Linked DNA regions of Cricetulus griseus. The protein of the gene in region 1 purifies or fractionates together with the protein of each later gene. This does not show direct contact. Links are inferred from orthologs where the notes say so. Each region holds a gene or a part of one and is shown on either strand. Other genes may lie near its edges. The genes, in order: Pim1 and Edc3.

Region 1 (4,386 bases):
CTCCCCAAAAGAAAATGAATAAATAGAACAAACGATGGCTAGGATATAACCCCCATACCCTCTTTTACATAGCATCAGATTTCATGGTTCACTCTTGTAATCCCAGCACTCATAAGAGTGGAGACACACTCTCAAAACCAGCCTTTCAAATATAACCCCAGTGCCAACCACCAAAGGGCTCGGGGAAGTTACCTGAAGAGACTCTTTGCCTGAAGAACACTTGACCCTTGATGATCTCTTCGTCATGCTCAAATGGAATATCTCCACAGACCATATCATAGAGCAGGATCCCCAGGGACCAGACCGCAGCCGACCTGCCATGGTATCGATGGTAGCGAATCCACTCTGGAGGACTGTACACTCGGGTTCCTGCCAGCCGAGGGAATTGAAAGAAAACTATGTTAGCAAAAATAAACAAAGCAACTAAGCTGAGTAGCTTCTTTGAAAAATTTTCTTTTGGAGACAAGAGTTTCTCTGTGTAGCCCTGGTTGTGCTGGAAGCCCATCTGTAAACCAGGCTGACCTCGAACTTGGAGATCACCCTGCTTCTGCCTTGAATGTTAGAATTAAAGGTGTCTGCCACCACCATTTATTTGGCTTACTTAAAAATACATTGTTTTCCTCTCCAAAACAGGGTACCTCTCCACCAGTCTCAACCCTAAACTGAAATCCCTTACAAACTGTCACAAAGATGAACAGAGCCACTGAAAAGCAAAAGTCTGAGGCCCTAGGCGGTAGAACTCACAGTGAGATACAGCCTTCAACTACCCAGACCCTGTCCAGTACCCTGCCAGAATAGACTCTCATCTAGACCCAAGCGGGTGAGGACCCCCTTCAGAAAGCTTTCCTCTGGGTTCTGCGCAAGCAAAGCAGTATACCTACACTCTTTCCTCCCCAGACAGGAAAGGCATAGTTACAGGGCTGGTTTCAGACCACGTGATTCCTGTTTACAAACTTTGGATAGTAAAAAAGTGCTAACCTCATGGTGCTCAACAGGGGGCAGCAAAGACTTGCCCAGGGGGAGGAAAAAAAAAAAAAACACACACAAGGGAGGACTCAGCCAGCCATTAACTGTTAAATACAAAAAATGCAGCCCAACCCTGCGTCCTCCATTGGCAAAGAAATACAAACCACAAGGCAGTCACAAGTCTTGAAAGGCTGTCGTTTGTCAGGGTGAGCCACTCAGATCATAACCCACCCTCTCGCTTTGATCTAGTATCCCTCCATTCCTTTTCTGAAAGAACGCGATCCAAGCCCCTCCCTAGGATAGGTTTTCAGTCTCCCTGCGGGAGACACCCAACTAATTTTCAAACCAGCAACAGATCTTATTTCACAACATTGCAGGCTTCGTCACCCCACAACACCCCCAAGTGTAGTGAAACCACGTCTCTTATTCCTTAACCCTCAAAAACAAAACAAGACAAAAACCTGCATGCAGTTCTAAGAACTACCTTAAAACTCCCCCACAAAACAAAACAAACTACAAAACCGGCATCAATGTCTCCCGCCACCACCGGCTCCACCTCCTTCTTCTACTGGTGAGAAAAGTGGGTCAGACTTTAGAAATCTGGGCTATAGCCGGTTGCCTACGACTTTTTATTCACGGGAAAGCATGGAATTTACTAAAATTCCACTTAAAAAAAAAAAAAGAAAAATTACAACCACGCCAGAAATGTTGCAGGTTCGTTCAACCGGCTTGAAATCCCCGGCTGTAGTGTGCCGGGAAGCTCGCCTGTGCCCCACCCCTGCCAGCACGGAGCCAGGCGGCCCAATGACCTTTACAAAGGGCCGGAGCCGAGGAGGCCAGCGGCGGCGGCGGCTCCCTCCCTCCCTCCCCGGGGCCTGCAGGGCTCACCATCGAAGTCCGTGTAGACTGTGTCCTTGAGCAGCGCCCCCGACCCGAAGTCGATGAGTTTGAGCTCGCCGCGGTTCAGGTCGATCAGGATGTTCTCGTCCTTGATGTCGCGGTGGAGGACCCCGCAGCTGTGGCAGTGGCGCACGGCCTCCAGCACCTGCCAGAAGAAGCTGCGAGCCAGCTCCTCCTGCAGGGCTCCCCGCTCGGTGATGAAGTCGAAGAGGTCTTGCACCGGCTCGGGCCTCTCCAGGATCAGCACGAAACTGTCGGGCCTCTCGAACCAGTCCAGAAGTCGGATGACGCCCGAGAAGCCCGAGCTCACCTTCTTCAGCAGGACCACTTCCATGGGCACGCGGGTGCCATTGGGCTGCGCGGGAGGGCGAGCGAGGGCCGGGGTCAGCGCGCCGGTTCCGGCACGCCCGTCACCACCCAGCCACCCAGCCAGCCACCCAGAACGAGGGAGGGTCGCGGGCCCGGGCTCACTCACCAGTTCTCCCCAGTCGGAAATCCGGTCCTTCTCCACGTGCTTGATGGCCACCTGGAAGAGAGCCCCGCGTCTCCATCAGAACCTCGCTCCTGCTGCCCAGAGCATCCCTCCGCGCGCGCGCCCTGCCCGAGGCGGGGTGCCCACTCACCGGCAAGTTGTCGGCGACGCGGATGCCCGAGTAGACCGAGCCGAAGCCACCGCTGCCCAACAGCGGGCCCACCTGGTACTGCGACTCCAGGGGCTCCTTCTCTTTGCCTAGGGAGGGAGCAGAGGCACGGGACACTGAGCGCGCGGCCCGCGCAGGGGGGTCCCCGGGCGTCCCCCGCGCCCCGCGCCCCGCGCGCCCGGGGCGGGGAGGGGTGGGGTGGGGACGCTCACCCGGCGCCAGCTTGGTAGTGTGCAGGTCGCTGCAGGGCGCGGCGCGCAGGTGGGCCAGGGAGTTGATCTTGGACAGGAGCATCCCCACCTCCAGGGTGCCGGTGTGGGGCCGGTGCTGGGACGAGCAGCAACGGCGACGGGGCGAGCTGGGGCTGCGCCGGCGGCCGGGGCTCAGACTGCGGGTGGCGTTGCGGCTCGGGCTGCGGCTGGCGCGCAAGGCCGAGGGCGAGTCAGAGGACGACTGAGGGCGCTGGCGGCGGGCGGGCTCGCCGGCCGGGTCAGGCAGTGCGGGAGGCGGCGGGGCGAGTGGCGCCGCGGGACCCAGGGCTGCTGCTGTCTGCGACTGCTGCTGTGGCCGCCGCCTCTGTGGCCGCTGCCGCTGCCGCTGCTGCTACTGCTACTGCCGATCCCGCCGCCGGCGCTGCCGACTCCCCTCCAGCCTCCTCCGCCACCGCGGCCGCTGCTGCAGACGCCCGGCTCGCCCTGCCGCCAGGAGTAAAGGGGCGGAGCGCGCCGCTGGGGAGGGCGCGCGCGGCGGGCGGGGACGGGGCGGGGCCTCTCCGGGAGGCCGAGGCGGGGAGCCCGGCTGGCGCGGCGGAGGCGGAGAGGGGGCGGGGAGGCGGCGGAACCAGGGCCGCTCCCCTCCGCTCCGCCCCCTCGCGGAGGCTCCGCTTCTCCCGGCCCCACCCCGCGGGCGCGGCTCCAGCCAACCAGGAGCCAGCCGATCTGCATAAACGCGCCGAGGCCACGCCCCCGCCCCGCCCCGCGCCTCGCGGTCAGAATGGTCGCTAACGCCGCCACGACGTGGCGGGAAGGAAAAGGCGCCAAAACGGAGGGGGAGGGGCGCCAGGCGTGCGGGGAGGCGGGAGCTGGGTGGCGCGCGCGGCCGGAGAGGAAGGATGCGAAGGGAGGAGGAAGGAGGGAGGGAGGAGGGAGGAGGGAGGGGCGTATCGATTCAAACCCAAACAATAACAAAGCCATCAAAGGCCGCCCGAGGCCAGCTCCGCCGGCTCGGGGTTTCTCCGGGATCGGGGGGTGTGTGTCGGGGCGGGGGCGGGGGCCGCAGCCGGAGCCGGAGCCGGAGCCGGAGCCGGAGCGTAGCGAGTTTGCGAGTCAGGCAAGGGCGTTGTTGCGGAGGCCGTACGGAGGGACCGCGTGTGTGCGTGTGTGGACGCCGATCAGGGTGGTCCTCCGGTGTGACTCAGCCCCCAGACCTCCAAGGCTGCCGGGGCGCGGTGACGACGACGCTCCGTGGGCCGTGCTGGGGGTGGTGGCTGTGTTTTGGGGGGCGAAGGCTGTGCAGACGTGAGTCACCGGCGTTTGAACACCGAGGGAGTGAAGGAGTCACGGGCAGGCCTGCGAGCATAGTGGGGGCGAGCTAGGCTTCTCAACAGAGACCCGAGCATAAAGGTTCTCGATTTAGAAATGCAGGGAAAAAAATAAGTAATTAGTTAAGAGGTAGCGGTAGGTCCTGTTTGATCCCTCCCGAAATCATCCCGTGTCCGAGTGCATGAGAGAGAAGAAATCACGACACAAATGTTAGCTTTCTGCTGCCAGATGCTGCCTCAGCCCCTTCTGCAGAGGGCGGGCGGGAGGAGGAGGAGGAAAATTCTTGATCGCGGCCAGGGTGGGAGGGTGCCGCGGTGTTTAGTCAGAGGTTGCTCGGG
Region 2 (4,373 bases), on another chromosome or scaffold:
CTGACTCTCAGGAGATACTTCCCAGATTTCACTTCAATAATGCTATTCTCTTCTTAAGGACCATTAATTTCTCAGCTCCAGCCAAACAGCATTTAGTATCCCAGCAAAGGTTTTGCTTCAGCAGTTCTGTTAATCACAGCTGATTCTTCAGTTCCAACTAACCAGAACCACAGAATCTTAGTTAAAAATAGCAAATGGTACTGACAGTCTTTAAACGTCCCTCTGAAATTTCACAAGCCAGGCTTCCATCAACTGCACGGTCTCAGTGTTCTTATCTTCTGAGCCCCTTGAGAACAACTCACTGAGCTCTCAACATTCTGTGGTTTTTCTAGCCCAAAGTTCCAAGGTTCTTCAGCAACCCTCCCAAAAACATGGTCAGGTCTGTAACAACAATATCCCATTCCTGGTACCAACTTATCTAGTGTGGGTTCCTATTGCTGTGATGAAATACCATGACCGAAAAACAACTTGGGGAGGAAAGGGTTTATTTTGCTTATACTTCCATATCACTGTTCATTATTGAAGGAAGTCAGGACAGCAACTCAAACAGGGAAGGATCCTGGAAGATCCACAAGCTGATGTAGAGGCCATGGAGGAGTGCTGCTTACTGGCTTGCTCAACCCTTTCTTTTTGTTTGTTTGTTTGTTTTTTTTGGGGGGGGGTTCAAGACAGGGTTTCTCTGTGTAGCTTTGGAGCCTATCCTGGCATTTGCTCTGTAGACCAGGCTGGCCTCGAACTCAGAGTTCCGCCAGCCTCTGCCTCCCCAGTGCTGGGATTAAAGGCGTGTGCCACCAACGCAGGGACTCAACCCTCTTTCTTATAGAACCCAGGATCACCAGCCCAGGGATAGCATCACCCACAATGGGCTGGGCCTAGCTCCCATCAATTACTAATTAAAAATGCTTTACAGAGTTGCGTATATTCTTTTTTTTTTCCCTCTCCTCCGAGACAGGGTTTCTCTGTGTAGCCTTGGCTGTCCTGGACCTCCCTCTGTAGACCAGGCTGGCCTCAGGCCTGTCTCTGCCTCCTGAATGCTGGGATTAAAGGCGTGTGCCACCACCTCCAGATCCCAGATCTTATTCTTATGGAAGCATTTTCTCAATTGAGGTTCCCGCCTTTCAGATAACTCTAGCTGTGTCAAGTAGACAAACTAGCCACCACACTTGCAGTGTTACTTTCTTTCGTTTGCTCCCTCAATGGCTCCACTCAACGCCGATCCTCTCAAATTTCCCGGGAGTCCCGCCCCCTGGCCTCCTCACTCCGGCGTATTACGCTATCAACGGAAGTGACATCAGTTCAGGTCTGTAAGGCGCGGAGGCGTTTCCGGCGGCGGCGGCGGCGGCTGCTTCTGTGACTGTGGAGGTGGGCGTGAAGCCCCTTGGTGGTGTTTTGGCGCCGTGGGATCGGCTTGGTGTGGTGTGGTGTAGACGGTGGGAGGTGAGCGCGAGGGAGGCCGGGTGTTCGCGGTGCTCCTTGGCTGGCGCTTCCGGGGTGGTCCACTCGGTTTGATTTTTAGGCTGCGAGCTTCCAGGCCTTGTACCTTTATATTGGCAAGCAGGAACTCTCTCTCTCTCTCTCTCTCTCTCTCTCTCTCTCTCTCTCTCTCTCTCTCTCTCTCTCTCTTTCTCTCTCTCTCTCGTGCGCGTAGGATTGGCAGGCAGGAACTCTGTGTGCGTGTGTGTATGTAGTTACTCCGTGTGTGTGAGTGTGTGTGTGTGTGTGTGTGTGTGTGTGTGTGTGTGTGTAATCGTTTGTATGCGCGCGCGTATCGGGTACTCACAGGCTACGTCTAGAGCCCAAGGATTTGGGTTAGATGTGCGAGTCCCGAGATAGAGAGATGGGAGGCGACAGCGGTCTAATCTCTCTCGGGCCGTTTTAGGTTGCCACAGCGACACACTCTCTCTCTCCCCCTCCCCTCCCTTCCCCTCCCCTCCCCTCCCCTCCCCCTCTCCCTTCCCTCCTCCCTCTCTCCCTCCCTCCGTCCCCCCTTCTCTCTCCCTCCCTCCGTCCCCCCTCTCTCTCCCTCCTCCTCCCCCTCTCCCTCCCTCTCCTCCCTCTCCCCCTCTCTCCCCCTCCTCTCTCTCTCTCTCTCTCTCTCTCCCTCCCCCTCTCTCTCCCCCTCTCTCTCCCTCCCTCCCTCTCTCTCTTTCTCTCTCTCCTCCCTCCCCCCCCTCTCTCTCATCCACTTCTTTTTGCTTCATTTCCTTTTGGCCACAAGGGTTAATAGTCGGGAAGAGTGCGAGTGCCACGTGGTGGTTGGTTGCTAACTGTGACAGGCAGGGATGTGGACATGGATACCGATGCCCTGCCAGTGCCCACGGTTAACTGCTCTCAGTGCACTGCTCCAGTTGTCAGTCCTTTCTCTGATGAGACTGCATTTGTTAGTAAAACTTGACCTGTGGTTTTGAGTGTTGGTGTGTATTGGAGGAATAGCCCTCACCAACTTTGTTAGTTGATTTTCAGTCTCCCAATTGCAGAGCTAAGAGGAGCCCTTAATCCTTCTACAATACAGATGACTAACCCCGAGCTGTTAGTATCTCACCTGGAGCCCTGAGGTGTAACCCAGTTTTTTGTTTTTGTTGTATGTATTGGGCAAAGAACTACCTTTTTTGGAGACAGTCTCACTGTGTAACTCTGGCTGGCCTAGAACTCTCTATGTAGACCCAAAAGACCTGCAACTCGAAGATCCTTTTGCATCTGCCTCCTGAGTGCTGGGATTGAAGACCTGTGCTGCCACCAGCCTTGGCTTTTTAATTACCAAGTATTATTGGTTTGGGTGTTGGGCCCAGTTGCTTTAGCCTCTGGAGTACTGCAATTATAAGTGTATTTCACTATACCTGACTCTACTTGGCAGTTTCTAATACAGTCAAATACAATTGTGACTCTGATTTTTCTGTGTAATATGAACAAGAACACATGTAGACATGTTAGTTATTGGGTGGCTGGAGAGATGGCTCAGCAGTTAAGAGCACTGACTGTTCTTCCAGAGGTCCTGAGTTCAATTCCCAGCAATCACATGGTGGCTCACAACCACCTTGAATGAGATCTGGTGCCCTCTGCTAGCATGCAGGCAGAAGACTGTATACAAAATGAATAAAATCTTTTTTTTTTTAAAAAAGAAAGAAATGTTAGTTATTTAGAATGGAACTTAGAACTGAAAATAAGCCAGCTGTTTATCTTGGTAGACAGGCTAAAATAATTGAGGTATACCTAAATAATAAAGTACAGACAGTGTAATTAGCTTTTGCTTCATGCAACAGTTGAATTTTACAGATGTACTGTTGATGAAAGGAAGCCAGACACATGAAACTGCGTGATTCCACTTGTGTGAAGTTTTAAAACAGCATAGGTTGATCTTTCCTGATGTCAGAATAGCAGCACCTTTATAGAGACACAGTGGAGCCCCTTGTAATATTTAGGTCATAGCTCTATGGGGGATTGCTGTGAAAAATTTTGGATGACCAAATGTCATGGTGCATACCAGTAATTACAGTACCCCGTAGCTGGGGGCGGGGGGGGGGGGGGTGGTCTTGCGTTTCAGCCTGCCAGGGCTACATAGTGAGGCCCTGCCTTAGGATTTTTTGTTTGTTTTTCTGTGTAGTGATACTCTTTTATTTGGATTATAACTAGATAGCAATTTGTTAGGCAGAGGCAGGTGGATTTCTGTGAGTTCTAGACCAGCCTGGTCTACAAGACAGGTTCTAAAGCTACACAGAGAAACCCTGTCTCAAAAAACAAACAAAAAAAAAAAAAGAAAGAAAGAAAGAAAGAAAAGAATGCCTCAATATTTGTCCTGTGCTAGGGATGTAACTCAGTAACAGCTTGCCTAGGGACAGGCACAGGCTGTGGGTTTGATCTCCTGCTAAACATACACACACTTGCGTTTGAGTCCAGCCTGGTCTACAATGCTACACAGAGAAACCCTGTCTTGAAAAGTAAAATTACTTTATTTTTACATGTATGAGTGTTTACCTGAATGTATTTCTGTGCATCATGCGTGTGCAGTATTTGAAAAGACCAGTAAAGGACATCAGATCTCCTGGAATTGGAGTTAGACATGAATCAGTGTGTATGCTGGGTATTGAACTGGGATCCTCTGAAAGAGAAGCCAGTGTTTTTAACTGCTGAGCCTTCCCTCCAACCCTTTTTGTTCAGCTTTTTAACTTTTAAAAAAGTTTTGATGGTGCTAAAAATTAAAACCAGAATTTTGTGCTTTCGAGGCAAATACTCCTCCGCTGCTGGGTCACATCCCCAGCCTTCTCTTTTGAAAGATTTTGTGCTGTTATCTGTAGTGCATACACTAAAACAACTGTGTGGTCTTTGGGGTTTTTGGTTTGTTGGTTGGTTTGTTTTTTTGTTTTGTTTTGTTTTGG

The links.
Region 2: the proteins of Pim1 (region 1) and Edc3 purify together in Homo sapiens (affinity purification with mass spectrometry; 3 studies listed by BioGRID and IntAct, counting the BioPlex papers as one, with this or other methods). This does not show direct contact. The link is inferred for Cricetulus griseus from reciprocal best matches to the Homo sapiens genes PIM1 and EDC3.

The regions. Positions count from the first base shown.
Region 1 is NW_023276806.1:257,963,027-257,967,412, reverse strand, and holds the start of Pim1 (serine/threonine-protein kinase pim-1), read right to left. Parts: upstream 3,039-4,386; 5' UTR 2,802-3,038; coding exon 2,720-2,801; intron 2,597-2,719; coding exon 2,490-2,596; intron 2,393-2,489; coding exon 2,342-2,392; intron 2,222-2,341; coding exon 1,855-2,221; intron 370-1,854; coding exon 193-369; intron 1-192. UniProt on the Homo sapiens protein: Proto-oncogene with serine/threonine kinase activity involved in cell survival and cell proliferation and thus providing a selective advantage in tumorigenesis.
Region 2 is NC_048597.1:169,351,907-169,356,279, forward strand, and holds the start of Edc3 (enhancer of mRNA-decapping protein 3), read left to right. Parts: upstream 1-1,289; 5' UTR 1,290-1,362; exon of another isoform or gene 1,363-1,437; intron 1,438-4,373. UniProt on the Homo sapiens protein: Binds single-stranded RNA. Involved in the process of mRNA degradation and in the positive regulation of mRNA decapping. May play a role in spermiogenesis and oogenesis.